4 linked regions of the Coturnix japonica genome follow. The protein of the gene in region 2 purifies or fractionates together with the protein of the main gene of each other region. This does not show direct contact. Links are inferred from orthologs where the notes say so. Each region holds a gene or a part of one and is shown on either strand. Other genes may lie near its edges.

Evidence for each region.
Region 1: the proteins of MARCHF5 (region 2) and DNM1L purify together in Homo sapiens (affinity purification with western blotting, with the first as the bait; 3 studies listed by BioGRID). This does not show direct contact. The link is inferred for Coturnix japonica from reciprocal best matches to the Homo sapiens genes MARCHF5 and DNM1L.
Region 3: the proteins of MARCHF5 (region 2) and MFN2 purify together in Homo sapiens (affinity purification with mass spectrometry; 5 studies listed by BioGRID and IntAct, counting the BioPlex papers as one, with this or other methods). This does not show direct contact. The link is inferred for Coturnix japonica from reciprocal best matches to the Homo sapiens genes MARCHF5 and MFN2.
Region 4: the proteins of MARCHF5 (region 2) and MFN1 purify together in Homo sapiens (affinity purification with western blotting; 4 studies listed by BioGRID, with this or other methods). This does not show direct contact. The link is inferred for Coturnix japonica from reciprocal best matches to the Homo sapiens genes MARCHF5 and MFN1.

What each region holds. Positions count from the first base shown.
Region 1 is NC_029516.1:53,514,900-53,523,136, reverse strand, and holds the start of DNM1L (dynamin-1-like protein), read right to left. Parts: upstream 5,096-8,237; 5' UTR 4,936-5,095; coding exon 4,834-4,935; intron 1-4,833. UniProt on the Homo sapiens protein: Functions in mitochondrial and peroxisomal division.
Region 2 is NC_029521.1:18,089,962-18,097,923, forward strand, and holds the start of MARCHF5 (E3 ubiquitin-protein ligase MARCH5), read right to left. Parts: upstream 4,591-7,962; 5' UTR 4,492-4,590; exon of another isoform or gene 4,415-4,491; 5' UTR 4,314-4,414; coding exon 4,270-4,313; intron 2,284-4,269; exon of another isoform or gene 2,269-2,283; coding exon of another isoform or gene 2,258-2,268; intron 1-2,257. UniProt on the Homo sapiens protein: Mitochondrial E3 ubiquitin-protein ligase that plays a crucial role in the control of mitochondrial morphology by acting as a positive regulator of mitochondrial fission and as an important regulator of immune response.
Region 3 is NC_029536.1:4,788,190-4,796,123, forward strand, and holds the start of MFN2 (mitofusin-2), read right to left. Parts: upstream 4,617-7,934; 5' UTR 4,523-4,616; intron 4,360-4,522; 5' UTR 4,245-4,359; intron 3,999-4,244; 5' UTR 3,897-3,998; intron 3,219-3,896; 5' UTR 3,215-3,218; coding exon 3,040-3,214; intron 2,398-3,039; coding exon 2,262-2,397; intron 1,941-2,261; coding exon 1,778-1,940; intron 1,235-1,777; coding exon 1,110-1,234; intron 795-1,109; coding exon 686-794; intron 589-685; coding exon 481-588; intron 87-480; coding exon 1-86. Other genes in the region: PLOD1 (procollagen-lysine,2-oxoglutarate 5-dioxygenase 1), read right to left, coding at 6,119-6,274, 6,502-6,627, 6,923-7,069, 7,461-7,565, 7,892-7,934. UniProt on the Homo sapiens protein: Mitochondrial outer membrane GTPase that mediates mitochondrial clustering and fusion. Mitochondria are highly dynamic organelles, and their morphology is determined by the equilibrium between mitochondrial fusion and fission events.
Region 4 is NC_029524.1:15,410,630-15,418,126, forward strand, and holds the end of MFN1 (mitofusin-1), read right to left. Parts: intron 7,468-7,497; coding exon 7,363-7,467; intron 7,261-7,362; coding exon 7,158-7,260; intron 6,505-7,157; coding exon 6,275-6,504; intron 5,770-6,274; coding exon 5,614-5,769; intron 5,122-5,613; coding exon 4,925-5,121; intron 4,559-4,924; coding exon 4,424-4,558; intron 3,872-4,423; coding exon 3,802-3,871; 3' UTR 2,392-3,801; downstream 1-2,391. UniProt on the Homo sapiens protein: Mitochondrial outer membrane GTPase that mediates mitochondrial clustering and fusion. Membrane clustering requires GTPase activity. It may involve a major rearrangement of the coiled coil domains.

The sequences.
Region 1 (8,237 bases), on a different chromosome or scaffold from region 2:
ACTCTCAAGGTCCTCTGATACTTCACTAGAGTCAAAAATACCTCATTTAATTAGAATCAACCAGTACTGGTTATTTCACAGAAATGTGATGTTTAATGATCCACATTTCAAAGCATGAAAGATTGGCCTTATATATTCTCACTTATACCATTCTTGTTAGTTTTCAAGTAAGAGAAGCAAAACAAAGCCAAGTTGTATTTTCAAACGCGAGAAGCCCTAAGCAACTGAGATACTTTTTGACTTACTGAGAGGAAGCCGGTGAACCTCCTGGCTACCATACAAGGAAATCTTCTCCAAGACCAACACAACTGTTTTCTCTCCAGATCATGAAACACACTTGCCAAGGCTTGTTCCTTCCATCGCAGTTTCTCTTAGCTTTCCTGAAAACATGTCTTCCTTATGCTATCCCCTGAGGGCAAGATTTAGGATCCATCCATTTTAATTACAATACCGTATTACCAATCACAAGAACAGAACCCTGGCATCAGGCACACAAAACTACAGCACTATTTCACTTCAGCAGCAAAGTTTCTGGTATGCCTGGCATAAGAAAACACCTAATTAATGTCAACTTCATTTTGCTGCTTGTTTGAAACGCTCACCAGAACAGTCAGGGCATGATCTGACAGGAGGAAGGGATGGCAAAGGGGAAAACATTTATGCCTGCAAGTAAATACAGGGAATTATATCAAAACACAAAAACTCTCACAAATTAAATTAAATTAAAACAAAAAAAAGCTTGCAAAACCCACAAGCAAAACAAGTTCCCTCCAGGCAGCAGAGCCAGCACTGAACACTCTAGATCTATCCATCCCATCACAAAGGTAAGAGGGATCTAAAGACAATTGCACTGAAAACCCAAGAAATACTGATTGTTCAAAGAAATGAAGAGGAGGGAGGATGCCCATTCCTGGCTTGGGTTTGTAAATTGCCTACCCAGTTGCTTGGCACAACTTTGAGTTTGCCAACATGGATTAGGATGTGTTGCTGGATGAACCAAGTCCCTTCTCTGCAGGGAAGGGCACTGTAGTTCCGTGCAGCATAAAATAAAAACACAAAAATAAAAACGTAACAAATTGAAAGCATGCAAAATAAAAATGTAATGCTCATCCACGGGTCAATCATAGTCTTAAGGAACAGCTTGTTTGGATGGCAGCATCCAACAGACCAAACTATGTTAAGCACTATAAGATACACTTGCACACTGGAAGTCCCAAAATAGCATTTACTATTGCTCAGCCTTCACAAATGTCCACTTGAAAGGTCTTTTATAAATATCTTTGTGAATTGCAGCTGCTTATTCATGCAATTTCATCATGAAGTCTCTATTATAATCGTCACTGCAAAGCACAACTTTTTCCTTTCTAAAATAATGCTGGTGTTAGGAGAATTCCTTTGTTACAGAGCTAGCACTAAAGTTAGTACATATCTAGGTCAGTGACTTGTAGAAACCCTAAAGAGATGCCAAGAATTAAAGACCTGGAAAAAAAGAAAAAAAGAAAGAATAAGAGAAAAAAGAAATAGGGAATTCACTTCCACACATCTCTAGGCACTGATTCTGTTGATGTTTAATCTAAAAGTCACGCTCTCTTCTGTCATGTAGGTATTTCTATTATAATACCTACACCTCCTTCACAGAATCACAGAATGACCCGGGTTGGAAGGGACCTCAAGGATCATGTAGTTCCAACCCCCCTGCCTGGCAGGGCCACCAAACATACACCTTTACTAGATCAGGTTGCCCAGGGCCCCGTCCAACCTGGTCTTGAACACCTCCAAGGACGGGGCATCCACAACCTCCCTGGGCAGCCTGTTCCAGGGCCTAACCACTCTCCTAGTGAGGAGTGTCCTCCTTAACACATAAAAGGCCATAACTCAGTTTTCTTCCCTGCATCTCATTTTAGCTCAGTATTAATGTGTTTGGTTGAGGCACCTCAATACAACCTCAATATCCCTTGCCACAAAGCAAAGTATCGATATCAAAGACATCATAAGGACAATAGGGTTTGCGTAGCATTCCCAGCCTCTACACTGCTTCACATTTCAGCAACACAGCTGTAAGGTGGCAACTGAAACACTGAATCAGGAAAAACAGCACACCTACTGGGAAGGACAGCGAAACCCTAAAATAGCAATACATAGTTGGCCGTGTAAGGGTGCCCTGCAAGTCCTATCATCGGCAGTTTTCTTAGCAGATTCCATACCAGGGTACAGAGATGACTTTTACAGTCAACTATGGGGGAAAGCTTGGAGTCACACAGCACTTAACCAAAAATATCTTAAGGGACAACGCTGTTAAAAGGCAGGTTTCAAAAACACATGGAAGCCAATTCTCAGCAGCAAAACCGTCAGCCCTAAGGACATATGTGAGACATCTCCAGAAACCTGGGCTGCCATAAACTACATTGAAAGGACTAAACGAATACAATCTTAAGTATGAAATAACTGCAGAAAATAACTACAGAGTCACTGCGTCCATGAAGACAATTATATTTTTCAGGAGCTGAGACTTAAACAAAAGAACAAAATTTGGCTACAGTTTCCCATCCAATTTGCTACATATTTTCCTGAGGTAAATAAAGGCATTCAAGCTGGTCTCCTAAAAGATACAGTACCACTATACCTTACTCACAGGTCTTAACACCAAAGGGGTATTAATACAGAAGGGCAGACTACTCATTTCCACTGTCTTCTTTCCTGGCCTGACTACGGAAGTTTGAAGCTTCAGCTTAGTCAGTGTTGTTATGAGTCAGAATTCATGGTTTGTCCAGGTCTCAGGAAATCCAGGATTACCCTTTTCCCATCCCAAAAGACAACGTGCATCACTTTAACCACTGAGGGCTGCGCCCTGTTAAATTCCCATTGAAGAAGTTTGTATCACCACTCCATGGACAGCCATTGGAACTTCGGTTCCTAGTGTTGACACCGTGTCCTGTCACTGATAATGATTCAATACAGGAAACAGTCATCTCATATTGGTTCAGCAGGACCTGATAAACCTGCATATGATGTTCGTTCTGATCCTGTGTGAGAACTCATGGGACCCACCCAGCACTAAATTTGTGATATTCCAACATTGCCACCATCATTTCCAATGCAATGAAATTGATATTTAGGTCTGCACACAATTCTCTGCTTGTAATCTGCTGATCTGTGTGGATGAGCGGACTGAGACGGTCTTCATTTCATGATGTGACAGCTGTGCATGGATGTGTGGAACATGGCTTGCCCTTCACATCGCTGTCACCGCAGCTGAAATGCACCACCCACTGCCTCACTGCACTCACATCCAATGTTTGGGCTCCATAAAGGTTCAACAAGCATCAAAGAATGACAACGAGTGCCATTTTTTCTGCGGAGGAATTCAGTTCCCCACATTTGTTTCATATGCGCTTCCATATCAGACACCACTTAGTCAGCCTGCCCCTCTGCTGCCATCTGTTACACCGCAACATAATGTAATGAACAGAATATTGACGGGAAGGTTCAACCTCTACTGCCAAAGCACCTACATCCACCTCTGACACTGTAGGCCAATACAATAAACTAGGAGGCATGACTTCCAAAGTAGCCTCTGTATGCGAAAATAGTCCTATGTACTCCATGTACTTTTAAGTTAACTAAGTTAACTAAGATAAGGTCGTTACAAAAGACTTCAGCACATTGGAATGAAGCTGAAAGGCATATTTCCATGAATTTCAAGTATAAAAACATCACACCTCTGCTTTACACCCTTCTGATAGAGAAATAAAAAAACAGCATTGACAACAACAAAATCAGTTTATATTGTTAATATAATGAGATTGGAAGTTTCTACACAGCAAAGGGCTCCTGCGATCAGCAGAAACCAAGGACCTGATATAACTGACCAGTACAAAGTCTCCTCCTCAGCGCCGGTGTTGTGGATCTCTTTTATAAGGCAGCTGACACAGAGTCTCTGAACCAGCTGACTGATGGTGGTTAAGCAAAGGAAGAGCTGCCTACCCTACAACCACACCACAACTGGCTTTGAGGAAAGCCATGCCATGCTTCAGCTATAAGCTTGCAGTCGGTGCCTTCAAAGCCATGTAACGATACCCAGCTGCAGAGCATCTAGCACAATTCTCTTGATGTCAGCCTACTATTGTCAAGTAACGGCATATATTCAATAAATAAAAAGAAAGAAGGTGATGTACTAAAGCCAAGTTTTGGTTGTGTTTAATGTTTCATTTTCACTTCTCCTATGACCGCCACCGTTCTGGACTGGAAGTTATGCTGAGGAACAGCGTCCCGTTTGGACGCTGGGTCCTCCAGAAGGGTTTGGAGTCCCGTTTGGATACACCAGAAGGATCTGAAGTCCCGTTTGGATATATCAGAAGGGTCTGGAGCCCCGTTTGGATACATCAGAAGGGTCTGGAGCTGCTCGTTCAGCCCCTCAGCGTTACCAGGCTGGGACACACTGTAACGCCAAGACAGGCCGCTTTGGCTGCCAACAAAGAGGTCCTAAAGGCGGCACAACAGCTCAGCGACCCCTCAGCACAGCCGACACCCGCAGGTGCCGTCCCTCTGCTCTCCATCCCTTCAGCTCAGCGGCCCGTAGGCCGGGGGGTTGCCCCGGGGAGCGCCGCGGCCGTTAGAACCGGCGGGGGAAGGAGGGCGGTGGCACGGGCACTCCCAGCGCCAACGGGGGGGGCCGCGGGCACAGCTAAGGGCGTCCCGGCCGCCCTCGTCCCCCCGTGCCCTTGGAAACGGAGACCGCGGCTCAGCGGCCCCAGAGGAGCAGGGGACGAGCCGACATTAACCCGGGGCGGTGCGGCCCGGTCGTACCCGCCGCCTCGTCCCGCCCCGCCTCACCTGCGTGCCCACCACCACGATCTGCGGCAGCTGGATGATGTCGGCCCCCACCGTGTTGAAGACATCTTGCAGCTTGTTGATCACCGGGATCAGAGCCTCCATGGCGGCGGAGGCGGACACAGCCCGGAGGGGCTGAGGGAACAGAGAAAGCCGGGGAAGACGTCGGCGATGAATGGGCGCGACGGGCAGCGGCTCCCGTCAGCCGCCCCCTCCGCCTGCCGCCATTGGAGCCGGCCCCCGCGCACGGCGCGGCCCCCAGCGGGCAGTGCGGGCTGAGCGCCGCGGGGATCCACGGGACATGTAGTGAGGAATGGGGCCGGCCGCACTGGGCCCAAGGCCTGTGGAGATCGTCCATTCGCTTAGGTGTGCTGAAACCAATTGCTCTCAGAGCTATTAGGATCATTAACACAGAATCACAGAATGACCCGGGTTGGAAGGGACTTTCAAGGATTCATGTAGGTTCCCAATTCCCCCCTGGCCTGGCTAGGGCGCCACCAAACATGACACATTTTACTAGATTCAGGTTTGCAGGGCCCGTCCAACCCCTGGTCTTGAACACCTTCCAAGGACGGGGCATTCCACAAACCTCCCTGGGCACCTTGTTTCCAGGCCTTAAACCGACTCTTCCTAGTGAAGAGACTTCCCGTCCTAACATCAATCCTAATCTTCCCTCTTTTTAACTTTAAAACCATTTCCCTGTGTTCCTTGCTATTAGTCAGCCCTTTCGAAGAGTTTACTCCCCTCCTGGGAGTAAGTTCCCTTAGGTATTGAAAGGCTGCAATGAGGTCACCCCGCAACCTTTCTAGGCCTGAACAACCCAACTCAACTCATACAACACAGTGTATTGCATATAAATACATAAGGATGTGGAAATTAAACCTAGATCTGGATGTTTCTAAGCTACTAGTGGTTGGAAACAGGGTGACTGTCGTGCACAAGCGCTCAGTGCTTGACCTTTAGTCCATCCCAATATGGCTATTCTTAGAATTTAATCAGTGTAATATATTTCATTAAGAACACAGTGAAAATATCATTTGCCAAAATGTGTAGAGATAACTCAGCTTTCCCAGCAGAACTGTCAAAAAATACCATCAAGGACACTATACCCACATGGAGAAACACAACTTAAATGGATGAAATGAATTAATGAACAGAAGAGAAACAAGAAGAGCGGACTAAATAAGACTAAATAAGATTAGGAAACCCAAGGAAGAAAATCTTACCACATTGTCTATTTCTGGCTAAAAAGTGGGTTCTGGAAATACCTTTGCTATAAAATGTTGTGTCTATTACCAACTTACCAAAGCCAGCATTTACCTCAATCCAGAGCAACTGCACCAAAGCAATCATCATTTTGGCAAGCAGTGACCATCCTGAGCTTTAATTATCTAATTTCCTTAATAGGCTTATGTTGTACAGGGCAAGAAACTCAAAGATCTGATAAGAGACAGACTGGTTTTTACTAAAGGTTAATTAACATAAGAAAACAGGAACTGCCGCACTGAATCTGACCTGATATAAATCTACCTCAGGATGTCATTTCTGAGTACGTTAAGCACCAGGATTCCTGGGGAAATTATAAAAGTATGGTAATAAGATCTTCTGATCACAGTCCTGTGTATTAAATCTGATTTTGTCTGTAAAATCTGAAGCTGACAGATCAACGTGCCTTCTGTTTTATCGATGCTACTTGAAACCAGATTGTTCTGTTTGCATTATACCATATAATATATTTCTGTGTGCCATGGAGTAAAATTCTTGGCTGCAGCAACATCCTGCAATAGTAAATTTCATGATCTAATTACTCATATTGCAAAGAAAACCAATTTGGTGTCAGCTTTGAAATTCTTGTGTCCTAATTTCATTATAAGCTTGCTTGTTTTCGTGTCTGAAGTCAGAACAAAATTAACAGAATTTCCAATTCTCCTTCTCCACTGTGTGAATTTCTTATACTGTTTTGCATCATCAGCTGCTTCCTTTAACTCAGACAAATCGCCATCCCTGGATGTGCTTAAGAGGCGTTTGGATGTGGTGCTCAGGGATATGATTTAGCAGAGGGCTGTTAGAGTTAGAGTGCTATGGTTAGGCTGCGGTTGGACTTGATGATCTTCAAGGTCTTTTCCAACATGGGTAATTCTATGATTCTATGATTCTATAGTGACATGCAGAGAAGAGCAGACCACTCATCTGCTATTTAATGACTTCATGCCAGAAAACTACAAGCTACCATGACATTAAAGGTTATTTCCTTGCTGTCATCTTTGTCTAGAGGAAGAAATATTTGATAACCACATTTTAAAGTTTCAATTATGTAATGTAACATGTGCAGTGTGTACACCACCATACTACTTAGTACTGCACAAAAAGTAATGGCAAAATATTTTTGTAAATTATTCCTTGATAATGTCAACTTGGCAAATTCTCAATACAAAATACTACTTTTCAACATAGGTACCATCATGAGCTACACCACATTTTCACTGGCAATAAATAAGGTCCTGCATGCCATGCTCATAAAAATCTTCACCAGTGGAAGTGACCCACTGTTTCACAGCTGCTATGACAGTGTAGTTGGTAGGAAAATGTTGCCCACACAGTCCATCTTTCATTGGCCTGAACAGATGGAAGTCAGAAGGTGCCAAATCTGGACTATATGGTGGATGTTGTAGGACAGTCCAACCAAGGTTGACAGCGTGATTTTCATACTGGTATGGCACCTGGTGTTACGGTGTTGCAAGAGAAGAGCTATCTTCTTCCCCAGACTGACTCTGGAAGTTTGAGCCTTCAGCTTAGTCAGTGTTGTAATGTAGTAGTCAGAGTTGATGGTTTGTCTGAGTTCCAGGAAATCCAGAAGGATCACCCTTTTCCCATCCCAAAAGACAGCACACGTCCTTTTACCAACTGAGTAATGCATCTTGAACTTCTGTTTCCATGGGGAATCTCCATTTTGACAGCTCTCCATGAACTGTTCTGACTGGCTTATAGTGGTAACACCACCTCCTGTTATTGGCAGTGATATGATCCTGGAAACTGTCCCCTTCAGGCTCTTCGTGTTACCCTCCTGGCACAAAATTTGTGATATTCCAATGTTGCCACCATCATTTCCAATGCAATGAAGTAGATATTCAGCTCTGCACACAATTCCCTGGTCGTAATCTGCTGATCTGTGTGGATGAGCTGATTGAGACACTCTTCATTTCATGGTGTGACAGCTGTGCATGGCTGTCTGGAACATGGCTTGTCTTTCACATTGCTGTCACCACAGCTGCACTGTTCCACCCACTGCCTCACTGCTCTCACATCCACTGTTTGGGCTCCATAAACGTTCGACAGGCATCAAAGAATGACAATGGGTGCCATTTTTTCTTCAGAAGAATACACCACTTTGCATCATGTGTACTTCC
Region 2 (7,962 bases):
AAAGAGAGAAAAAGAAAAAAGAGAAAAGTCCCAAGGTTAAAACAGTTTAAAAATAACATCCTGGTGCTTTTACATAGATGGGCAAAAGGCTTTTTAAAGGTTCGCAATTAGTTTTCATTTGCCCTTGCTGATAAAACAGGGAGGCATTACTTTCAGAGCAGTCTTTGTATACTGGAAGGAAAAGTGGTCTTCAGACAGTAAGAAGAATACCACAAATCACTACCATGAAATGGAAACCAGCATTCTGAAGCCTGAATATAACCAAATTGCAAGAGCAATCTGCAGATAATCCCTCTGAAGTCAAGAGAATAAAGCTGAAAAATAAAAGAGTACATTTTAGCATTATGGCTCACATTAAGGTAAAAATAGGCAGTGACATTGCTATAAAAAGCCAGTGTGTGGATAAGCATTTAGATTTTTTTAGACTGATTGACCAGACTATCAACACAAAACATGAATTGGAAGCTATCCAATGAAATTTTATGGTAGAAGTAAAAATCTTTAAAAAGAAAAAATAAAAATTGACAGCTTCCAGGATTATTTTCAAGTTAATCAAATTAATCACTTCAAAACCAAGTGAAAGTACATGTTATTTATGCCTAAAACACAGCTATAAAACTCCATTTTATAGGCAAATGACACTGGAAAAAAATAAGAATAAGCAGAAATAAGGCTGCTCTAAAAGTAAGGCCTCCTATTTTATTACATTGGCCCATGAAGTCAAAAGCAGATGGTGGTAGTATGGCAGTAGAGGCTGAACCTTCCCACCGACATTCCATGACATGTTGTTGCTGTGTGACAGCAGCAGAGAGGGGCAGTCTGACAGAACAGCACCTCACACATGGAAGTACACACGCAGCAAAGGTGTGTCACCAGATTCCTCCATTTGTAAACAATGGCACACAGCCACCAACATTCATCAACACTCACTGAATATTTATGGAGACCAGTGGATGTGAGTTGAAAAATAGCATTTTGTAGCTGATGATTTGCTCTATGAAATAGCATTATTGTGCACGTGTTCTAATTTCTATGAAAATAAATAGGAAGCATTGCTTTCAGAGTGACCTACGTACTTAAGAGATTAAGTTACTAATCGAACCTAGTACCAAAATCTGACAAAGTTCAACAGCTTATCTTCCAACATTACCCAGAGAGAACAAAAGAGTCTGGAGCATGCACAGAGCAGCCAGAGCACCTGACAAGGGATAAACACGAAAGCTAGAACATTCAGAAGTGTTCAGCTGGAAGAACTACTGTAACACAGTGCCAAGACGGGAAGTTCATAGGACCCAACTGAAAGAAAATAAAGCCAAAACAACAACAAACCTTCCTTCTTTTTTAGCCTATTTTTAAAGTGATGTTTAAAAAGACAAAAAGGACTCAGTTCGTGATACTGGCACACCAAGCACAGTATTTTCATTGTAAAGGTTCAAGATCCTCATACTCTGAGTACAATATTTGTGTTATTCCCTCTTGCATTCATGGTGTAGCAGCCCTTCACTTCAGCAAAGTATGAAGTCCTTAGCTAGAAATTTCAAGTAAGGAATTAATTACACCGTAACAGCTTTTTATTAGAAAAGTGTCATTTATTAGAAATGTGGTCCAGACTAAAATTATGCAGGAAAAAACAACAAAAGATGAGCACAAGAAGAAAGTCACGTGGATGTACAACCTAAGAGCCAAGTAAAGAAGCCAGATATGACCTCTCACAAATACATATTGAAGAAGTTGATTTCAGGAGCTATCACCCTTGCATACATTCAGATCTACAGCAATAACTTATTCCTGATACAGGAGTACTTCACCATTCTGCGAATTCTCAGTGATACCACCTTGGTATCAGAAAAAAAACCTTTTTCCCTCCCAGTCAGCTTTATTCACTGAAAAGCTGTTTTCTGCATCATTCACTATGAGATTTCAATTTGATTTAACAGTACGTGCTCTGTGTGAAATGATAATACATTAACTCATAAGCTTTTCTATATGCACTTGTTACTGCTACCCAGGGCAATAGCTACCTGTCATTAGCATCAATGATAACAGCATGAATGAAAAGGAACTTCTGCCCTTCAGAATCCCTACAAAGGAGTCATTCACAGGTTACGTCTCCAGATGAAAGGTTTTTCTTGGTCATCACTACATACAACATAAAAGCAGTTATGTATGATCCCGAGAAACATCAGATGAAGGAACAAGACAGTTTTTTTGTAATATAACCACTCTCCATAACCCCAGTATGTAATAGACAACTTACACTGACTGCATTTTGAAGTCTTGTTTGCTCCAAGATCCTTCTACTTGTACTGTCCTGAGTCCTGAATTAAAGACAAATCCTTAATACTTGCACCTTCTCACCATCTCCATTTCCTGTCTCCCACAATGCTGTTTCTATATTCAGTCTAACAAGCTTTCATGAAAGCTGCAGTCTTTCTTCTTACCTTCTTCTATGCTTCCTAAGTACTTCAAACGTTTCCCCTATTGTCCTTGTTGCTAAGCAAGCCAGGAACACCTTCCAATTATTTTAGATTACCGACTCTTATACCAAATTTACTAGGAAGTCTTTTGAAAGGGCCAGATACACATCCTTCCAGCTTTGCGAAACTGTGGTTCGCAAGCACATTAAACATGCATCAAACCCCATATACCCATCATATCCAACTGAAGAACAGTGAACTGGTTTGGCTGCTAGTTAACCAGCTTCCTTTTTAATGAACACTCACCTAAACCTCGCATGACTTCTTTCACTACTTTCTACATACAATTTGGATTTAACAGTTTTTGCACTAACAGTAAGCTTTGCTAATATTGGGAAGACCTTCAAATCTGTTCTAGGACAGAAGAAACATGGAAGAAGAAGAAAAAAAGGACATTTAAAACATGTAACCTTAAAAGAAAACAAACTGTAAAGACATCACAAAAGATTCTAGATTCTTGTGTGTCACACTCCCAAATGCTGATACAAGCACAAAAGAAAAGCTTCAGTTTTATTAGGCAGCGTCATCTAATTACATCAATTTACTGTTTGCACCGCAAATAAATACCACCTCAGACATTTCCCACTGAATTAGAACCTCATGTTATGTTAAAATAGCTACAGACAGCAGGGCAGCCATTCAGAACATAATGATTTCTTAGGAATCCAAAATAATGAAATATTACATATCATCACCTGAAGACCACAAACTTCAGGATGAAGATGAAAATTAGTTTCAGATGTGCAACATTCTTCATGATCCTCCTCATTCTTCTTCCTTTCTACACAAGTTTTCCCATCTTCTCCTGCTCACTTGCCATCCTTCACCATTTTCCTCTCTATTGTCGACATTCACAGGAAGTAAAACAGAATACTTCCCTTGTAGTGCTTTAAAAAACAACAAACTTATCTCCTTTCTGTTACTTCTTGCAAAAACGTTTCCAATTCCTGACCCTTAGCCTCCTTAACATCACTTCCCCAGGTTTTCTAAAACATCAGAAGCTTTCCCTCTTCCTCAATCCTCCAACAACAGACTTTTAGTCATTTTCCACACTGGACTGAAGTTCCTTATCCAGGCAGTGCAAGCTCTGCCCTTGCCTCCCAGAGTTTGCCTCTCCATTACCTGCCTGACGACAGGCTGTATTTTCCCCCCTCCCCCTCCAAGTTCTTTGTGATTTAAGTGCGATACGTTTATCAGTAGAGGATAGATTCCTTATGGGTTCCGACCTTCAGAAGCAGCAGGCAGTCACACCCCCGGCACTAACAGCCCGGTTGTTGTGTCGCCTATACGTGCAGGTCTCAAGAGCTTCCTGGATGACTCAATGCGCCTCAGTGGGAATCTCAAATTCTCAGCAGAACAAGGTGAAAGTGCTTCGTGTGCAAATCAACGTAAACAGAGGAAATAAGCTTACAAAGAGCGAATGCCTTTTCTCCCCTAGAATTAAGTCAGAGGGGTTTACAGGTCGGACTTCTTAGCAGCAATTAAAAAAAAAAAAAAAAAGAAACTACAGACTCCTCCAAAGCCGACAAAACCAGTAACAAAGCCCACCAGGCCCGGCTAAATACACCTCGCCTTTCAAGGCTTTCAGGAACGCACCAAACGCTTCCCATGGCCGCGTTACATCCCGCAGCCCTCGCACACCGCGCCGTTCTCCCCGCTCCAGCCCCGCCACGCACTCCACGCTGACGTACGGCCGAGCTCAACGCGGCCCGCAGCACCCGGACATCAAAAGCCCACAGACACGCTACCGCCCCCGGCCGGCCTGAGCCTCCCGGAGCCGCTCCTCCCGTACCTGTCCATGCTCTGCGGCAGCGCCAGGCCCGTCTGCTCCGACATCGTTACGGCAGCGGAAGGCACGGGCCTAGCCGAGGCCCCGCAGCCTGACAAAGGGGCCCAGCGCGGGGGGGGCCGCGCGTCACGCAGGGAGACAGCAGGATGACAGCAGGATAACAGCAGGATAACAGCAGGATAACAGCAGGATAACAGCAGGATAACAGCAGGATAACAGCAGGATAACAGCAGGATAACAGCAGGATAACAGCAGCGCCGTGCAGCGAGGCCGCCCCCCGCCACGCGCCTCCCTCGGCGGGCGGGACGCGGCGCGCGGAGGGCGCTACGCACACACGGCGCGGCCCGAGCCGCCGCGGTGCCGAGCTGAAAGGCGGCGGGGCCTCTGTGAGGTAAAGGCCGAGCGCGACTGCGACGCCCGTCCCCGCCCTCTTCCCAGCGCGACTGCGCCCGGGAGGCGGTCGAGACGGACGGGCACGCCGGGAAGTGTAGTCCCGCCGCCTCCGGGGGCTTAAAGGTCCCGCGAGGCTCCGCTGCCCCCTCGCCCGGTTCCCTCCCTATGCCGCTTCTCGCTGCCGCCGCCTAACTGCTGCCCGGCACCGCGCGCGGGGCAGGTAGGGGCCGCGCTCGCGTGGAGGGCTCCGATGGGGGACAGTCAGCACCGCGCCCGGCCCCGCGCCCTCGGCAACGGCCGCTCCGGTCACTGAGCGGGGAGCGGCGGGAAGGGCCCTCGCGCCTCCGCTCTCGCTCACACGGAGCGGCCGTTGCGCTCCGCAGCTCCTCCCTCACGGCGGCGGCCGAGAGAACGGAGCGGCGCCGCTGCTGCGGGCGAGGAGGTGGGAGGGAGCTGCCGCCGCCCGTTCGGCAGGTGCAGGCTCTGCCCTGGGGGAAGCGAGGCCCCGCGCGGTGTTGGGGAGCTGCTGCGATCGCGGTGTGTGCTTGTAGAGGCTGCGGTGAGGGAAGTGCCCGGCACCTCTGGATGCGGCCCTTCTGAAAGGCCTGGCGGCCGCTGGTACCTTGAGTGAGCTGTGGGGCAGCTGGTGGTAGCGCTCGTAAGCATGGAGAAGTCCTTTAGGGCTTTGAAAATCCATTGTATGTTCCGAAGTCAAGACACGGTAGCACAGTATAAGAAGCTGGAATTTTAGAGTCTGAGAAGTCTTTATGGAACAAAGGGGTGGACAACACCCAAGAGTTGCTGCTGTTTGTCTCCCTAGGGCCCTCTTCCACTCCTCCATCAGCCCAAATGTGCAGGTATTGGCGCACATGGAGAGGTTCTGCATCGTGCTGTGTTCCCTGTGCAAAGAGCAGTGTTGTTCTTTGCAGAGATGCTCACTACATTTCCAGGTCCTAGGAAAGTTGGTTGGTAAAGATCAGCCTTAGGTCTTCCTTATCGAGTTTTGATGATGGTTGTGTACGTATATCTGAGAACTGCAGCTTTGCTGCATGTAACCAGTCCTCAGAATCTTGTGTAATTTGTATCTTGCTCTGTTTTTTTTTTACTTTATTTGCTGTACACAGTGGTACCTTTCTGGGCCAGCTCCACATCTGTGCACCCTCTTCGGTGCACATCAGTTCTGGCTTGAGCTGAGCAGGATTAGCCTGGTGGCTCTGTACAGCTGCAGGGATCAGGCAGGACAGGAAGGAGACTGCACAGAATGTACTTCATCCTTTGACCCTGCTGTCGTAGCTAAGGGAAAATTAGTCTGGTTTTGAGTCTTTGGTGGGAGAAAAATATAGTAAAATATGTGTTTAAAAAAAAAATAAAGTGGAGTTCTGCACCATTGTCAGATTACAGAACAAACGCATACATTGGTTATGCAGTTGGACCCAATTCTATGTACTTCATTCTGTTTTTGCTATTGCTTTGTGCCCGACCTTATTTTTCTCAGGTCTTGTTTTCCATTTATCTTTTATTATCTGGATTTAGACTTACAAGCTGTATTCTATATAGAGAATAAGGACAGAGTTGTCTGTTTGCTGATTACCAACGCTATCCTCATTAGGAGTGCTAAAGCAGTTACATTTTGGTTATTTTTTCCCATAGAAAGTATCTGCAGAAGCAAGTAGGAAGAAGGCAGCGTGCTGGCAGCCTGTCCAAGAAAATGTATTTTGAGCTTTGTCTTAGGACAGTCAAATTCAATTTTACTTGCAGTACTGAGAGGTCTTGTGCATACAGTAGGATGAGTAAAACATGTGGGTGTTGCTTCCAGGAAGAGAACCTAATACCCACTTTCCCAATTACAGCTGCTTGTGAAATATTAGAGCAGTACTGGTTACAGGGTCCATGGTTCCTAGACTTCATCTGAAATCAATGCACTGTCTGCTGGTCAAAGTAGTGATCAGAAAGACCAGCCAGATGCTTGGGGTTTATGTATTTATTCTGAAACCTTACAAACAGAAGTAAGGAAGTCTATTTTATTCCTAGGATTCTGGGATTTGTACAATTTCTGTGTTTTGTCTTGGGGCTGGGAGAATAAGCTGGTAGCCTACCATTGAGGATTAGGCTGCGAGGTTGTGATTGGCAGTAATGACAGGCAATAGTTACCCAAAGAAATGTGACTGGAATCCATCATCACCTGGTTACTATGAGGCTTGAGAGCAGCCTCTCACAGAGCAGGCTGCTTTGTGACCCTGCCAGGGAGGGATGGATGACATGAGTGGTTGAAACCTGTGCATTGGGCTGCATGGTAAACACTTGGCAGGTATGTACATCATATTTCCTTTGAAATATGCAGTATATAAAAACCTCCTAACATCCTACTAATAGCTTAAAAATCTCCAAATCTAAAACCTGTTCAGTGTCTTTTTCACCTTTCAAGGCTTAGTTAGGCAGCCTAGGGTATGGAATCTCAATTTGTCCTCTCAGAAAGAAAATGTGGTATTAAAATACATAAATAAGCAACAGTTTCTAAATTTGAGATAACTCTCCTTATTCCCTGACAGAGCAAAAGTTGTCATTCCATGCTCATCTTTTCCCTCTAACAGGACTGGATTTGCAGCTGCTCCATTCAAATGCTTTCTTTATTCTCCTTCTCCAACAGTCTCCTTCAACTCCCTCTCCCTCTCTTCTTTCACTGTTCCTTTTCTTTCTACTTTTTATTACATTGGCAGTTTCTGCTAGGAACCTCGGGCTGGCTCTTGCAGATATTTCTTTCTTTCTTTCTTTCTTTTTTTCAATTACTGCTTTCCATATAATCCCTTAATGTAGTCCTCTTTGTTCAGTCTCTCTGTTGGTTCACTGACTCATCTGGTCCTCTCTCACCTTCACCTGCTGGGAACTGCATTTGAGCCTGGAGTGGAAGTCCCTAAGGAGGACCCCTTTTTGCCAATGTGAAGTGTAGGATGAGGACTGCTACCACTTGGGATACGGCAGAACTCGTGGGTGGCAGCCATTTTGAATGAAATCAAACTGTACACTTGAAGACATGTACAAAATTAAATGAAAACTACTAAAAATAATATAAGCTTTTTGGCTATCAGACTTATGGCAGAAAGTCACATTTTAAAACATTAAATTGTTTGATAACAAACTTGCACAAATTTTGTTAAGCTTATTAAAGAAACTGATAAGCAATTAATATTAGAATAGCCTGGATGTATATTAAATATTTACCTGTCCGTTTCAGCAGCGCTGCTTTAACACAGTTCATCTGTCAGCATTGAAGCTGTTGGAATTATTCACTATTTCTACCAAAGC
Region 3 (7,934 bases), on a different chromosome or scaffold from region 2:
ATTCGATCCCCTGCCTGCGCTCGATCCACCACACCCAGCTCATCTACCAGGAAACTGGTGCAGCGCTCCATGTGCTGCCGACGCACCTGAGGGATAAACAGGAACAGCTCTGTGTGCAGTTACAGCCACTTTAAGCTCCATCTCAAAAATCAGACCAGGCACCCAGATGCCCTCTGCTGGTCTAAGTTACTAATATGAAAGAATAAGAAAACAACCTTGCAGTCTAGAATATCTTCCAGAAGTCATCCAAGTCATCTAATTTACAAACTGCCCAGTGAAGTTCTTGGTTTCCACTTCAGAAATCTCCAGAGCCATGCTGTGACCACTAGCCTATACTCCCTCTAGTTTCCACACCACAGTAATAAAAAAACAAACTAAAACAACCATATCTAACACGTCATGATTCTACTCACAAGGACAAGAGTCAAAATGGTCTCTATAATGGATTCCAGGCAAAGAGAAGGAATTTAAGTCACAAACCTCTTCCATGTATTCTGGTTCAGAGGCAGATGCATCCCAGCGGTTATTTAAAATAAATATATTGGGTCGAGACAGACGTTCGTTCACCTTGTGAAAGAACTGTTTCTCCTGTGCAAAATGGAATACAACCTCTTAAATTAGTTTGTCAGCACATTTCAACTTTCAGCCATATTCACTGACCGCTATTAAGTGAACCTGAACATACAGTTTGCATCAATGTTGATTCGGAATTTGCCACCAGAACAAATACATCAGCATCCAGACAGAACTTGTCAATCCAACTGTCCAGCTCTGTGGTTACATCAATGCCAGGGCTAAGAACAGGAAGAGAAGAAACAATATTATTATGTGGAAAATTCAAAAATATGTTTTAAAAAGTTAGTATGAGACTTGTTTTGGCTACGCAGGGCACTATTTTCTGTGTCTGAGCCACACTGCTTTGAGGTTTCAGTTTGCAGACTGCAAACTAAAAGGACAAATCAAGGTAAACTGTGGCTGTTAACTACAGGAAAGGACTTTAGTCACTGTCACAGATTAAAACAAGGTCACATTCCTTGATGTCTGCTAAATTCGTATTTGAATACCAAGCAATCTGTGGTAAAGAGGAAAAGAAAGACAGATATTCTCACCTGTCCATGAGCACTAGGTCATCCTTCAAGAGAGAACATTTGGAATTGGGCCACATTACGCTTACTAGGCTGCCAGCATTCAGAAGCTCATCTTGATGGAGGGCATGAGCCAGCTGGTTTACTGTCTATTAATAATAATAATAAATACACACACACATATGTAGATATACATAAAAACATTTCACATACGCCAAGACAATTATCTCCCCCCTTCAAACTGGTCACAGACAATCTAGGATAAAACCCAATGTGGAATTATTATCTCCCCAAGAGTTTTTCCACACCTCGAGTTTCCCCAGCCAAAAGACAACCACCCAAAAAGAGTTTATAAGAAGAATTCCCACCAAGTACAGCTGAGGAACTATCAGGAAGGCTGTAACTTTGGTCAGTCATACAGAGCTGAGAATTTCCTGAGTCATCATTCCAATTCCCTGTCAGCACAACTACAACGTATCATCTTCCACGTATAATAAAGTCTCACGCCATAGCTTGCTTCACTCCTCCCTTCCTACATTCATTGAAAATCTGCTGTTAATCTTTGCTCCTTCAATGAATATAGTCTGGAACTATTAATCTATTCACAGTGCTTTCATTTTCTTTTTCTTGTCTCCTTCTCTGGCACTGGAGCACAGCTCTTCTCCTATATCTAATGCTGAAGGAATTTGTACCTTAACACTCTTCTTTTCCTCCGAGCCTTCAGTAAGAAGGAAAGCTTCATGACCATCAGTCCCTTCTACACGCAGGAAACAATTGGTGGTGTGCCCAATTCCTGAAGGAAGGACTTTGTCCCATAGCATGGCATTTATCACAGTGCTTTTCCCATTGCTCGTCCTGAAGCAAAATTAAAGAACAGCATAGCTGGGCTTCTGAGCTCAGAACAAGTCATCTAAACCAAAACAGCTCCAGAAGCACTAACAATTCATTTGCTACAGACAACTTAAAAAAGAACCCATTTTTTTTCTTCTAAATAGATTATGTTCTACAGTATTTGAGTCCCATTCACACAAATACTAGAACTAGGGACATGTGCCACACGTTGCATCCAGAAGCTGGAGCACTAATGCTTCTATAAATACATTTTTGGCTATGATCCTAAAGATGCAAGTTTCTTTACCCAGTAGGGAGTGTAGGCAATGTAAGCACTCGACTTACCTTCCAAAAAAAGCCACTTTCATGTGTCGCCTCGCCAGCACTTCACTAATGCCACTGACTTTTGACAAGTAGCCTTTGACTTCCAATACCTGCTCTTCTGTGGTGACAGGATCAAGCTCCACGTTCCTGTGTGTTTCTAAAAATCAAAACACATCATGTCCCTGAATCCCTGAAGCGATCTGCCTCAGTACTGGGTAAAACACCTCCCCATAATTTAACATACACAACCAAATGCTTATCTGTATCTCACAGTTCAGACAGGTCATGCTGAAGCATGCAGTTACACCCAGCAGCATTATCTACCAGTCTCTTTATCTAATAACCATTCTTTATCCTCATGACCGCCTTAAACAGAACGCATCCAATGCTTCAAACATCCCAGCACCCTTAAAAACCTTCTCTCTGCATCGTAAGCTGTAAAGCCAATTACTGTATGTGTTCCACGTCACTGGCAATGACGTGTCTAGGCAAGAATACTGAAAGGATTATATGCACACAAGCAAAAGAGCCTCAAATAGTTCATTTTAAAAACAAAACACATAGAAATAACCTTCCCCAGAAACAACGGAGCCCACTAACTAGCTTGGTTTCATACATTACCAACGTAAATCAGCTTTGAAATATGAGGCCTAAACTTCACTCAAATTCACTACAATAATTTTCAGTCCCCTCATACAAATACTGACATATAAAGAGATACGTATTTATAAATAAATGAGGGTTTTGGTGTGTTGCTTGGGAACCACGTGCAGGCAAAGCACCATTCAGCTCAGCTTACCCTCCAGGAATGAGGAGCTCTCATTGATGTATGCGGCCAGTTGCTCAAAGATGCCATTGATTTTCTTCTTTGCAGTGACAAAATGTTTGAGTGGAGAAGCATTGACCTCAGCCATGTGTCTTTTATCCTTCTTCACTGCAACTATTGACTTGGAACGAGTAAACAACAGGGACATTGCGCTATAGGGAAAAAAATCAGTAAGGAAAGGGAACTCACTGAGGCCTAACAGCCACACAACCAAGTGTCTGATATTTAATCATACAACGGTTGGGCTGGAAAGGAACTCAGAGATTACTCAGTTCCAACCCTGCCACACACAGGGTGTTCCCCACCAGCTCAGGCTGCTCAGGGCCCATCCATGGCTGTGGGCACCTTCAGGGATGGGGCTCCCACAGCTCCGGGCAGCAGCAAGAGAGACTTAAGTTTCCCATCTCTTAGTTTAAAACCACTTCCCCTTGTTCTATCACTGACTACCTGTGTAAAAAGTTCACTTCTCTCCTGTTTATAAGCTCCCTTAAAGTACTGGAATGCAGCAATGAGGTCTCCTTGGAGCCCTCTCCAGGCTGAACAAGCCCAACTCCTCCAATCTTTCTCCATAGAAGAGGTGCTGCAGCTCTCTGAGCATCCTCACAGCTGTCCTCTGGATCCCCCCCAACAGCCCCACATCCTTCCATTGCTGGAGGCCACAGGCCTGGGTGCAGAACTGCAGCTGGGGCCTCACAAAAGCAGAGAGCAGGAGGAAAATCCCTTCATCCTGCTGGCACCCATCTGCTGCAGCAGCCCAGGATGCTGTTCTGTGTGTGGGCCTTCAGTGCTGCCATCACACAGTGCTGGTTCATGTTCAGATTTTCACCTACCAGGATCCCTCTGGAGGGCATCGCTTCCTTCTGCCCTGTCAACTGCAGTGCTCAGTGTGGTGCCATCAGCAAATTGCTGATCTTGATCCCAATGTGTATGCCCTGATAGTATAAGGGTACGGTGTACACACATATATAAAATGTATATTGATAAAGGTGATGTCTCAATACAGACCCCTGGGAGACAGAAGACGCCTACTGAGAACTAGATAATACACGTTCTAAAGATCATTCCACAAGGAACGTTTCTAATTCCCACACTTAGAAGTCACTCAAATATCTAGAAAGAATAAAAACCCACCTTCCCTCCTCCCTTCCAAGGGATCACTCCCTCCCTTCCCCGCTTACTTTTAGGATGTGTTTCGCTCTCACAAGCCGGACATGGTCAACTCGAGCCCCTCCAGAACACGAACAGCGCCGTTCCACCACAGCTCCTTCCCTCACTCCGAATCCAGCCGCCTCCCTACGACAGAGGGAGGCGCAGGCCTCGAACTCGGCCCTCAGAGAACGGCGGATTCCCGCCAATAAAAAGGGCGGGAAGCGCGTTCTCCCCACAGCGCGGCCGCCACCTCAGAGCCCCGAACCCCTCACAGGAGCCGCCATCACAGCCCGCAACCAACGCTCACCTTCACGGCCGCTCCCGCAGCGCAGCCATCTTAACCCCCGGCACCACCCCTGGGTAGGCGGGCTCTGTCCCGGGGTGCTTCGGGAGCTGTAGTTCTGAGGAGCCGCCCCGTCGTGGAAGAAACACAACCACAGTGAGCGTTTGGGAATAGTTTAATGCGAATTTCCCCACCTCCCACTTGCCACGGTTGGAATCTGTGTGTGAAGCGGCTCCGCGCGGATTCCGATCATAGTATCGGGCAGAGGAAAAACACAATAAAATAAGTGTGTGTGTGGGGAAGCTAAATAAATACATACACCATGTCAATGTTTTCTCAACCGTGGGCCTGGAAAGTCTCTTCATTTGGTTACAGCACGAATTTTTACCGTTTTCAACTGTTTTTTCTCCCCTGGTGGATGCACAGCACTGAAGGAGACCCTAAAGAGCCCTCAGAGAGCAGCCCTGTGGGTCCACCCCAATCCCAATGTGAATGTACTGCCTGTGAAACAAACCAGCCTTCATACACATAATAGTGTCTAAAAGCAGAGCAGGTCTCTCACAGGCAGCAATACAACGGTTTTTCTCTGCTCCCCCTCTACCCACAGCTCAATTCTAGGCAGTTTTTTATCCCTTATTGGTTTGCCACAACCTCTGAGCACTCACCCACTCATTTCTATGAGTCTCATCCCCAGGGGGATGCTTTGGTTTGCAATCTCAAATATTAGAAATACCAAATAATGATTTCCTCTAAGTACCAGAAAATAGTTCTTCTACAGCGTTGGCTCAAACAAGCTGGATGCAAAGGGAACTACCCAAATGATCGCTAAGAAGGAGAATGAGGCCAAAGATCAGTGGGGCCTCTGGGTTGTTAACCCATCATTAGAGCTTGTAGATCTTAACAAGGATAGAGCTGAGCTGATTCAGCACTGAAGCCCTCCCTAAACTGCAGTAACAGAAGATAGGGAGGCTATTTCTTTTTTCTATGTCTTCAGACTAATCCCAGAGATAATGTATAATTAATGGGCCTTCATTGACTACCACAAAGCACCTACATTGCTATTGCTGCTGCTTTGAACTCTGTGATGTGTTTCCAAAGACTGCATAGAGGTAAGGATTCAGATGATCTTCAGGCTGTTACTACTGAGTTTCATCTGGTGTGACATGTAACCATTACGACTCTTGGAGCCAGCTCCTTGATAATGTTTGGTATAGTATCCAGAAATGATTTTCTAAGTGTCCAGTCCTGTATATGCTGTGGATATAAAAAAGAGATTCCAGCTACTTGGAGAGAAAGCTTGTGACTTGACTCCAAAGAGCTGGATTTCCAGTCCAAGAAAGCATTTCTGTAAAGCCAACCAAGCCGTGAAGCTTCAAGTAAATCGCATTTCCAAGACACAGCGGATGAAGAGCAGAATCAAAAATGAAGGCACAAAATCTCCTTCCAAATTCTACAGCAACGTTTCTAGATATGACCCGCAGTATCAGAGAGGGAGATCTTCCAACAGCGGAGTCTTATATCTTTGATCAACACCTTAGAGACTCTCTGCACTATTCCCTGTTTCCACTCAAAGTCAGCAGTGAGCAGGGCCAGGGAAAGGTCTTTCCTGTCAGCATGGCTCTAGGGGTCAATAAAAGACACTGCGATATAACGGGTTCCTTTGGTGGTTGGAAGACCTTCATGGTAGTGGGTGAGTCGTCCTGGATGCATGAGAGTCCACCCTTTCCGTGGAGCTCGAATCGAACAGTTGTAGCGCAAAAACCGGCAGCCTCCTCCCTGAGATACAGACCAAGAGACACATCAGCTTGGTTAAGTCACCTAAGGGAAAGGGTCTCTGCCTTCTTTTGGCAGCTCTTCAGAAAGTGAGAGAAAGGGTATCCGTTGTGCTCTAATGTGCTCAAAAATCCAACATAACCCAGCCATTAATCACATACTTCAGCATGAAGGAGCCAAGTATCAATAAATAAGGCTGTGCTTCATCACCAGCATGCTGGCAAACTTACCTCATAGTCTATTCCAACCCTGTTCAGAGCAATGTTAATGGTAAAGGTGGAAGCATCGTGATGGGGCATTAGAGAAGGCTGCTCGTCGGGTTTGTAGCGGACCACAAAGGCTAGTTCAAACTGAGTCTGCAGGAGAGAAGAAAAAGTAGAACGTCTGTTACAGAGCTGTAGCAGCCTGTGGTTACTGGGCTGTGATAGGGTGCAATTTTAAATTGCACCTCACTGCTAAGAAGAACCACAATAACGCAGGAAAACATTATTGGGAAACTATTTTCTGATGCATATTCAAATCACAGCTCAGCAACATCCCTCCATACCAGAGAATGCATATTGCAAGAGGATTCTAGTAGTCTTTTCACACAGCTGCAATTGTAGAAGGTGCTGAGCTGACCATGAGTTTTGTTGTCACGGTATTACCTACCTTGGTATAGTATCCTGGGTACAGTTTCTCTGTGATGGGTGCAATATATTCCAGAAGAAACTTATACCATTCTCTTTCAAAGCCGATTTGGTTCATGTGGATGTCAATAGTTGGGACGTTCTCATATCCTCCTTGTATTCTACTGTCCTGAAATTGAACCACAAAAAAAAACAACAAACATGAGGATGGGCACCTCGGACTTCACAAACAAAAAGCACTTTTTTCTGGCAATTACTAATAATATGAAGTTTATTTATCAGGACTTTCAGGATGATAAGCTCATTTCAAGCAATCACTAAACATCCAAGGCCTGAACACTGTCATTCTGGTGGATAGGACAAGGCCTCAGAGAAGTTAATTAACTTTCAAGAGCATGGGAAATAACATGGAGTTAATTAAGAGAAAAATTAGCAGTATTGAGGCCAGTTTCCTGGCTTAGCTGCAGGATCTACAGCCTTCCTAGAGGAGGCACTGCTGTCACCAAACATAGATGGACAAGGTTGTCACCTAGAAATTAAACAGCTCTTGTCTTTCTTACCGTATTGTCACCTGTGGACCACTTGCCATAATGCTCCATTTCTTCCACCAGCTCATCACACGCAGTGTCAGTGAATATGGGGAACCAGTACACATCTGGGCAGGGCTGCAGAATGTGGACAGGTGAGAGCAGCAGAAATAAAGGCAAGCGCTTGAGGCAAAAGGAATATAACTAAACTGACTGTATGTAGGGTCAGATGAAGTGGGAAGGAACATCAAGGACAGAAGTTTGTCTTCTGATTGATGTGTCCTACTTCCACTTTACAGAGCTGGAGATGGACTTTGATTTTGCTCTAAAAATACTTCCAAGGTCATGTTTCCTCCGCATTTGAAAGACTACAAGGTCACATTGAACTGCTTATTCCAGAGAATGACAACAGCAATAACACAAGTGTTCTCTCATTTTGATGGATACGAGCAATGTGTTCTTACCATTTCTACCAATTTCCCCTTCAGAGCTGCTGTGTAGTTTTCA
Region 4 (7,497 bases), on a different chromosome or scaffold from region 2:
ACCGTGGCTCCTTTTGTGTTGGTGCACAAGGAAACGTGGAAGGAGCCTCAGCACAACTGTGGAAACAGTATCTGATGCTTCTTGGGGACCTGTAGAAAGCTTTGATAGATCCTGCCAAGGTGACGTTTGCTGTTTAATCACTGTCCTGTAGTATCTAAGGCTGAAGGAGAAAACCCAAAGCCTACAGACTTGATGTGATGTGCTGTTGCCATTGTATGAGGGCAAACAAGGAACTTGCACAAGATTGCTCTTCTTATTTTCATGGCTATCGCTGGTGAGCTCACTCAATAGAATGGACGTGGTTTAATGGTTAAATGCTCAAACTCCCTCTAATACGAGGAAGTTAAGAAAATGAGCCTTTGTACGTTTTACTTAAAAGACGTAATTCCCGGCTTTGCATCTCAAATAAGATGCTGCCTATGGTGCGGTGTAGGCGCAGAAACGCAGCTCGTGCCATTTCCAACTGCTCCACAGCAGCCAACAGTGCAGCAGATTGGGCAGCCCCAGCGGGTACATCTTAAGCTGTCAAAGTTGCCAAACTGCATCGTGGTCTGAGCTTCAGATCCCTTGTGCTATTACAGAAGTGCAGTAGCTAAGATTGTTGAGGCAAAGTTACTCATTCCCAGCCTCTCTTCTCAAATCCTATTGGTTATAGCTTGGAAAGTGGAACTCTGTGCTTTGCGGGGCAAGATTGATTTCATTCAGGTAGTTTTGTTTTTTATGTCAGCATTTTCCAGCGTTGATTCAATGTTGCAATACAGGATACTAATCAGGCCAGGCGAGCACCTAACCTGGGCTTGTTCTGGTGTAGATTCAGACATTATTCATTGGTGGGGATGATGATTGAGATTCTGGAAACCACAAAAGCTTCTAAATGTAAACTCACAGAGTGCTGCAGCGTTGGCCTGTTTTCATCTGTCTGCAGACCCTTTTTTCTTCCAACCATCAGCACCACCTGCCTTGCAAACTGCAGCTGCTCGGCAGTGCCTGGCAGAACGGATGGGTTGAAGCATTGACACCCATCTGTGTATGGAAGCAGAACGTGGATTCGTGGGCTGTCCCCCAGTCTCTGAGAGGGCCTGACCTGGACTTTCCAAAGCTGGATGGATGTAGCAGCTGGTCCTGGCGTGCTTACTTTGTGCATGGGTCGGAAATAGTAACTCTTCAGTTTGTGTCCCACAATGAAGTTGGCGTTACTTTAAGGTAGAATGAAACCATTGTGAAAACATTCCAAGCGTGCTTAGTTGTTCCTCTCTGAGGACACCGTCACCTCCACTAGGTTTAGTGCTGTGCTTTAAGATGTTGGTGAGAATAAGTATTGGCTAATTCAAATAGTTGGTATCAATGGTTGTGTAGCAGAATGACTGATTTTTGAGATAGCGTTTCCTGTAAAAGTAATTAAGCATGGGTTGATGGTGCACTTTGTATACAGTAACCTGGCATGCATGCTGGTAAACTACTTCCTACACTTCAGAGGCACCACAAGCCTTTTTATCCAATTGCTGGTTATGTAAAATACATGCAGAATGTTAATGCAGTGTTGTTATGGTAAATGTGTGAACAGTGTTACTAATTGATATAACTGATAACAGATTACATGTGCCTGACATCCTTATACCACACAGTATGTTTAGGTTTTAACTAATATGGACTTCGGTGGAATAGTCTTAGATATTTCAAGCCTTTGTTTTACTTACACGATGGTGCTCTTCTATTTGTGTTTTTTCTCCTTTTCCTTTGTTTCTTTTTTTTTTTTTAAAGAAAAAAATAAAAACATCTGAACACTTGTAGTACATATGACATCCAAAGGAGTCCAAAACTAAAACGCTTCTAACCATCTCCGTTTTAATTTGCCTTCAGTTTCTGGCATTTCTCATCAGCTCGGTTCCTTCTGTCACTTGTTGCTGACTACTTTGGATACCTGCGGTCATGTTACCAATTATGAAGTGATTCTGCACTGCCTTTGGATCGTGTATGTATACAGAAACAGTCTTAAAGCTTTTATTTAAGCTATTGAAGAAACCAGGGACTTGTGCCATTTGTTCTTTAACAGTGCTGTTGTAAAAAGACCTCCCTGTGAAAAGAAATCACTTGCTATGAACTCTGTTTATAGCTTTTTCTTTTTTTTTTTCCCCCACAATGGATCTTTTCTTTGTATTTGTACAGTGGCTCAGTGAAAGATGTTGCCATGAGTTGATATTGTAACCAATAAACAAGTGCTTTTAACCAGACAGTGCCACCTGTGGGTGCTCCTTTACAGCTCCACCCCGTGGCCCCTGTCACAGAATGGCTGGGGTTGGAAGGCACCTCAATGATCATCCATCTCCAACCACTGTCCTACAGTGGAAGCAAAGGGTGACTTTTCCTTGTGAAGTAACATTACCACAGGAGAAGAGAGTTATAATTTTTTAATAAATAACTGCAGAACACATGCATGTGAAGTTCCCACCTGGGTACAATCACTGTAGCAGTGCTTCAGATGCACCAACACACCCCTGTCACCTCAAACAACACCTGGGCTGTGGCTCATTTCAATATTCACAGTTGTCCTCAGACACCCCCCACTGCTGCTGCCAGCTCAGAGCTGCACAGTCACAAACCAACACTGTACACTACAGTGCAAACAAACAGCGCTGGTTATTAACAGCACTGCGCTACTATTAGCTTTTAATCTCTCTCCTTTTAGGATAGCCCTTATTTACTGGAATATAAGTAAATCCTTAACTCTGAAGTTTTGAGTATTTCATTAATCTTGTTCATACAGAGCCATAAAAATATATAAATACTCTGAAAAGGTTTTCTCTTCTAAAATAAGTTATTCTTAAAAAGTCTGGTTAGAAAAACGAAGGTGCTCAGTGATTGCAGGTGGCAGCAGCCACGCTGAGGGGCTCTGCAATGCTGGAGGTGAGCAGAGGGGAACCTGTCACAGCTCATAGGGATGGGTGCTACAGCAGAACCGAGGAGCAGGTCAGGATGTTACATGAGGAGATCCCATCAGGCAGCCTCCACCTCTCAGTGCTGGAGCCCGACACCCAAATCTTTCCCTCCAACATGCAGAAATGGGATCCAAACCACTGACTCAGCCACTCATTTGCTGCCCTTCACCTGAATGAGGCTTCCCGCTGTGCTCACAGAGACAAGTGTCCAGCTTACCAACTATTTATTGTTACTTAAGGCCATCTTGGCTGGAGACGCAGGAACCAGTGGGGAAACTACAGCCAACCGCATCCCAGGAGCGACTGCTCTACAGTTACCACCTTTTGTTTCCTTATCCAAGAACAGGAACATCTTCCCAACCCGATTCCACTTGCTTTCAGAACGCTCAGCACCTCTTGTCCACAATGCTGGGGTTCATCATTCCCTTCCTTAAAACCCCAAACAAGCACAAATGAAAGGCAGCATCCTCCTCCCCTGGCTCTTCCTGGTCAACTGAGAACGGTACAGACAGCGGTGCTAAGCACCCTCCCTGCATAAACTCCTGGATGCCAGGAAGCCAGACCTGCCCCTCCTAAGCACTAACGAAAATCAAAAGGGATTTGGGTTTTTATTCTCAAGTGCCCAATGAAATTTAGTGTTAAAGACTTTAAACCCCCAATCTGCAAAACAAACATCACACGTCTAAGCGTCCCACAGCAATTCAGTTTGGTTCACTGTCAGAGTCTAAATTAAGCTTTACAATAATTCAATGTAATCAAAATAAGGTTAAAAATATAAATCATTTTATGTGACCCCCCAGGGAGGCGTCAGCTGTAAAATGTGCTGTGTCCTACAAGGGATCACCGGGAAGCGAAGGCTGATGCTTTATTTACTCTTCTGAAGGAAATGCTTTGTAAAGCGATCTAGTTCGTTCTCAAGGTGAATGGCTTTAGTTCTGCAAAACAAACAAAAGCAGAGAATTCACTTCAGTGCAGCACCAGAAGCAAAACTTGTGTTTGGTTTCTACTCCTGAAACCCAAAGCACTGAGAAAACCAGAACTTCTGCTCCGGTCGGAGCCTGGACCTGAGTCCCTCAGCCACCCACTGCTGCGAGTTTCTGTTCCACAAACACCAGCTGCTGCTGGTGGCAAAACCAAAATGGGACTGAAATGAACGACAAGCTGACAGCTGCTCTAACACTCTCCTGCTTCTTGGGAAGGTGTCACCCCCCACTTTACCTGCGGGAGACAAACACTGTTACAAAAGCCACCACTCCAACAGAGTGAGGTAGAGATTGTCTAAGAGCATTTCAGGAGCTTTCCTCATTCTCGTGGAAGAAGCCTGCATTTAACTCTTAACCAAGGAGCTGTTTGCTTCTGAGTAAAGGAAAGAGGTGTCAGTGTCTGCCCTGTGTATACCTTGCTTTTAGGCTGCAGGTGACAGCACACATCCACTCAGGGGTCAGCAGTGCCAGCAATTGGCTGTTGGCAGCCACATGCAGACTCACCTTAGATGCTTGGAGTGGCTCTGTATGTCCTCCAGCTGATCGATTTCTTTGGAAAGACGGGCAATTTCTTCCTCCAGGTTTTTCTGGGTAACATCCACCTGCTGACAGAGCCGGGCAAAGGTAGTGGCCATTTCCCTATAGGAAAAACAAGTCTGTAACCGGAGCTTACAGAATCCCACCACAAAAACAAGACAGGATCAATCACACGGTGTTACACTGCAACCAAAGCCTCCAGCTGCCAGGGGATCACAGAACACAACGACTGTTAAAGAGTCCCGAGTCCACAACTCCAGACTCTCACCCCTGCAGAGAAGATGTCTTACCCTCCCTAAGTACCAGCTTCACACCTACAGTCCACCAACACCTATTGTTGGTACTGCAACACCTTCTCCCTGTAACAACACTACAAACATCCCTCACAACAAACAGGGCCTGCAAGAACATTCTGCTGCCTTTCCACACCCACACTGACAAAGGTTCCTTATCTTGTGTGACACTTACTGCTGCACCTGGTGGCTGCAGTTTGCGCTCGTAAGGCTGACGATCATCTGCAGCTTTTCGGTCGCATAATTCACAAACTGCTGCTTGAAGGCTCTCTCTTTTGCTTTAGTGGTCCAAGTGAGTCTCTCATAGAGATATAACAACCCGTACATACTTAAGGAGACAGAGATGAGTTTCCAGCCAACCGTTTTCCAAATCTGAAAAGGAAAACTCCTTAGTTTAAATTAGAGTTGCCCTACAGAATGCAATTAGACTATAAGGAAATCTATTTATTTCCACCTTTTGTTGCTGTTTTTGTCTTCAAGGCCCTTTTACTAGATTAGATTAACAAATATATTATTATAGAGCAATAGAGCTCTATCCAAACGAGCTGGTACCCCAATGGCTTGGAGAACATCCAGGCTACAGGAGGAGGAAGGAAAAAGCAAAGCTCCCACCAGTCCAACAACATGTAGGGCACAATCAAGTCACCCCATAGTTGAGAAACTGAACACAGAACACGCCCAGCTACACGCAGCATCATCACAGCAATTTTCTCACTACAATCCGATAACTTGTGCCCAGTGTACCACAAGTGCTCATCCATCCCAGCCATGCTAAGAAGTTACTACATGCTTCACAGTACGGAACCCCAGAAAGGAAAGAACAGCCCATCTCTGCCCTCGGTGAGTGCTGCTAATGCTACTTGCCACTCCGCCAACAACGATGATGCTCATAGAGGTCCGTGATGTCAGTGAAGCTAAACTCATTATCAAAGGAACCATGAAATCATCGGGTGATGTGTTCTCTGGAGTTGCAGCAGGAAGGCTGGCAGCAGACGGGGTGGTAGCTAAGGGACGAGGGATCTAGAAGAGTGGAATACGGCAGCCTGAGTCAAAAGCATTAGAGAACTACAGAGATTAGTTTTATTGTCAGCTATTCAGGGTTCCATTCATTTGAAGGGAACTGCTCAGCACAGACATCTGAACAACGTTCCTGGTAAGCAGTGGAGGTTCTGACAGTTCCCTGCCACACCGGGACTAAGTCAGAACGAAGGCTCTGCTCAGAGATCCAAAGGTGACAAATAAAGAAGTTCCCTGGAGTGGTCACTCCAAAGGAAAACAGAACTTAGGCAACGTCTGCAGAAAGCATGGGAAGGATGCTCGGTTCCCTTTTAACCCTGAATAGAATCCAATAAAACAACCCTTACCAAAAATATTTCACAGAGGGACCAGGAGCAAGCGGAGAAACAGCAGAAGCAAATAGGATTTAAAATAAAAACAACTGTAATTAAAAATAAATTTAAAAATTGAATATATCCTCATTAAGGCAAAACAAGGCACTTAAAAGCTCAGCCTCTGAAGCACTCACTTGTAAACTGGGATCTGCCAGTCCCAGAAGGACTCTCTGAGCATGTTTAGGACCCAAGAACCGGTTTACGAGTGAAGTCCATCCCAAGGAGAAGTGGAACACAATGTCCTCCTGAAAATCCGCACAGAGACTGTGACAGTTCAGGTCGTAGCTGAGGTCAAACTTCCTGCATGGGATCAGCAGGTGGAGCTGGTTCTGAGCACCAGAAGGCAACAATGGTTTCAGGTTTTCTAGAAACAGAACCCAATAGTGAGGATGAGTTAACACTGAAAGCCTGGCAGCACATTCCCAAGCAGAATCCTTGCAGTGCTGACCAGCTTTGAGAACTACAAGAACACAAACTGACTGTTTAAACAAACCCCTAGAACAAGAAACCCTCGAGCATTTTAGCAGCCTGGATCCTAACAGAGCAGCCCCTTCACTGCGCTGATAAAACAGCCGCACAAAAGTGACTTGTAGATAAAGCATCACTGCCCAAAAAAGGACACATTAACTTAAAGACCTCCAGCAATAGTAGAAGATAAGGATGACTACAAATCTGTTTTTCCAGCCATTTGGTGGTGCCATACAGAAAAGGCAACATTACTGAATAAGATAACAAGGCTTCATGTAATTCAATCATCTTGCTCCGAATCTTTTATTACCAGAAACAGAGCAGAGCAGAAGAAATGGATAAGAATTAACATTGCATAGGAAACACTGCTACCAAAAATAAAACCCCTGGCTACTACCAGACTCAGTCCTGAGCCAGGACGGTTCACCCTTACTGCTGTATCATGTAAAAATTACAACACATTCAGAAAGAAAATGATTCCAAAAGCAAATTATCCCAAACTGCCTTCTCTAAACACAAAAAGTCAACATCCTGCCCGTCCCGCATTACCAATGATCTCCTGCTGCGACTGATGCATCGACTCATTGACTTCACTGGAGCAACGATCAGCCAGGTTCTTCCCCAAACCATCTTCTATGTGTTTGTTGAGTTCCTGAAGGTTTATAAAGAAAATCAAAGTTCTGTAATGCTTAAACAAAGCGTCATACGAAACAATAAGCACATCATGAAAATGTAGAAGTTAAAGAAAACTTACTGTCTTATAGAGCTTCAGTACTTGAGGAGAAGGGTGAAAGTCCAAACAAAATTCATCAACTAGAACTGAAAGTCGGCAAATCTCATCAGTCATGGCAGAGGAGACCTGTAAGACAAAGCACAGTGATGCTCCTAT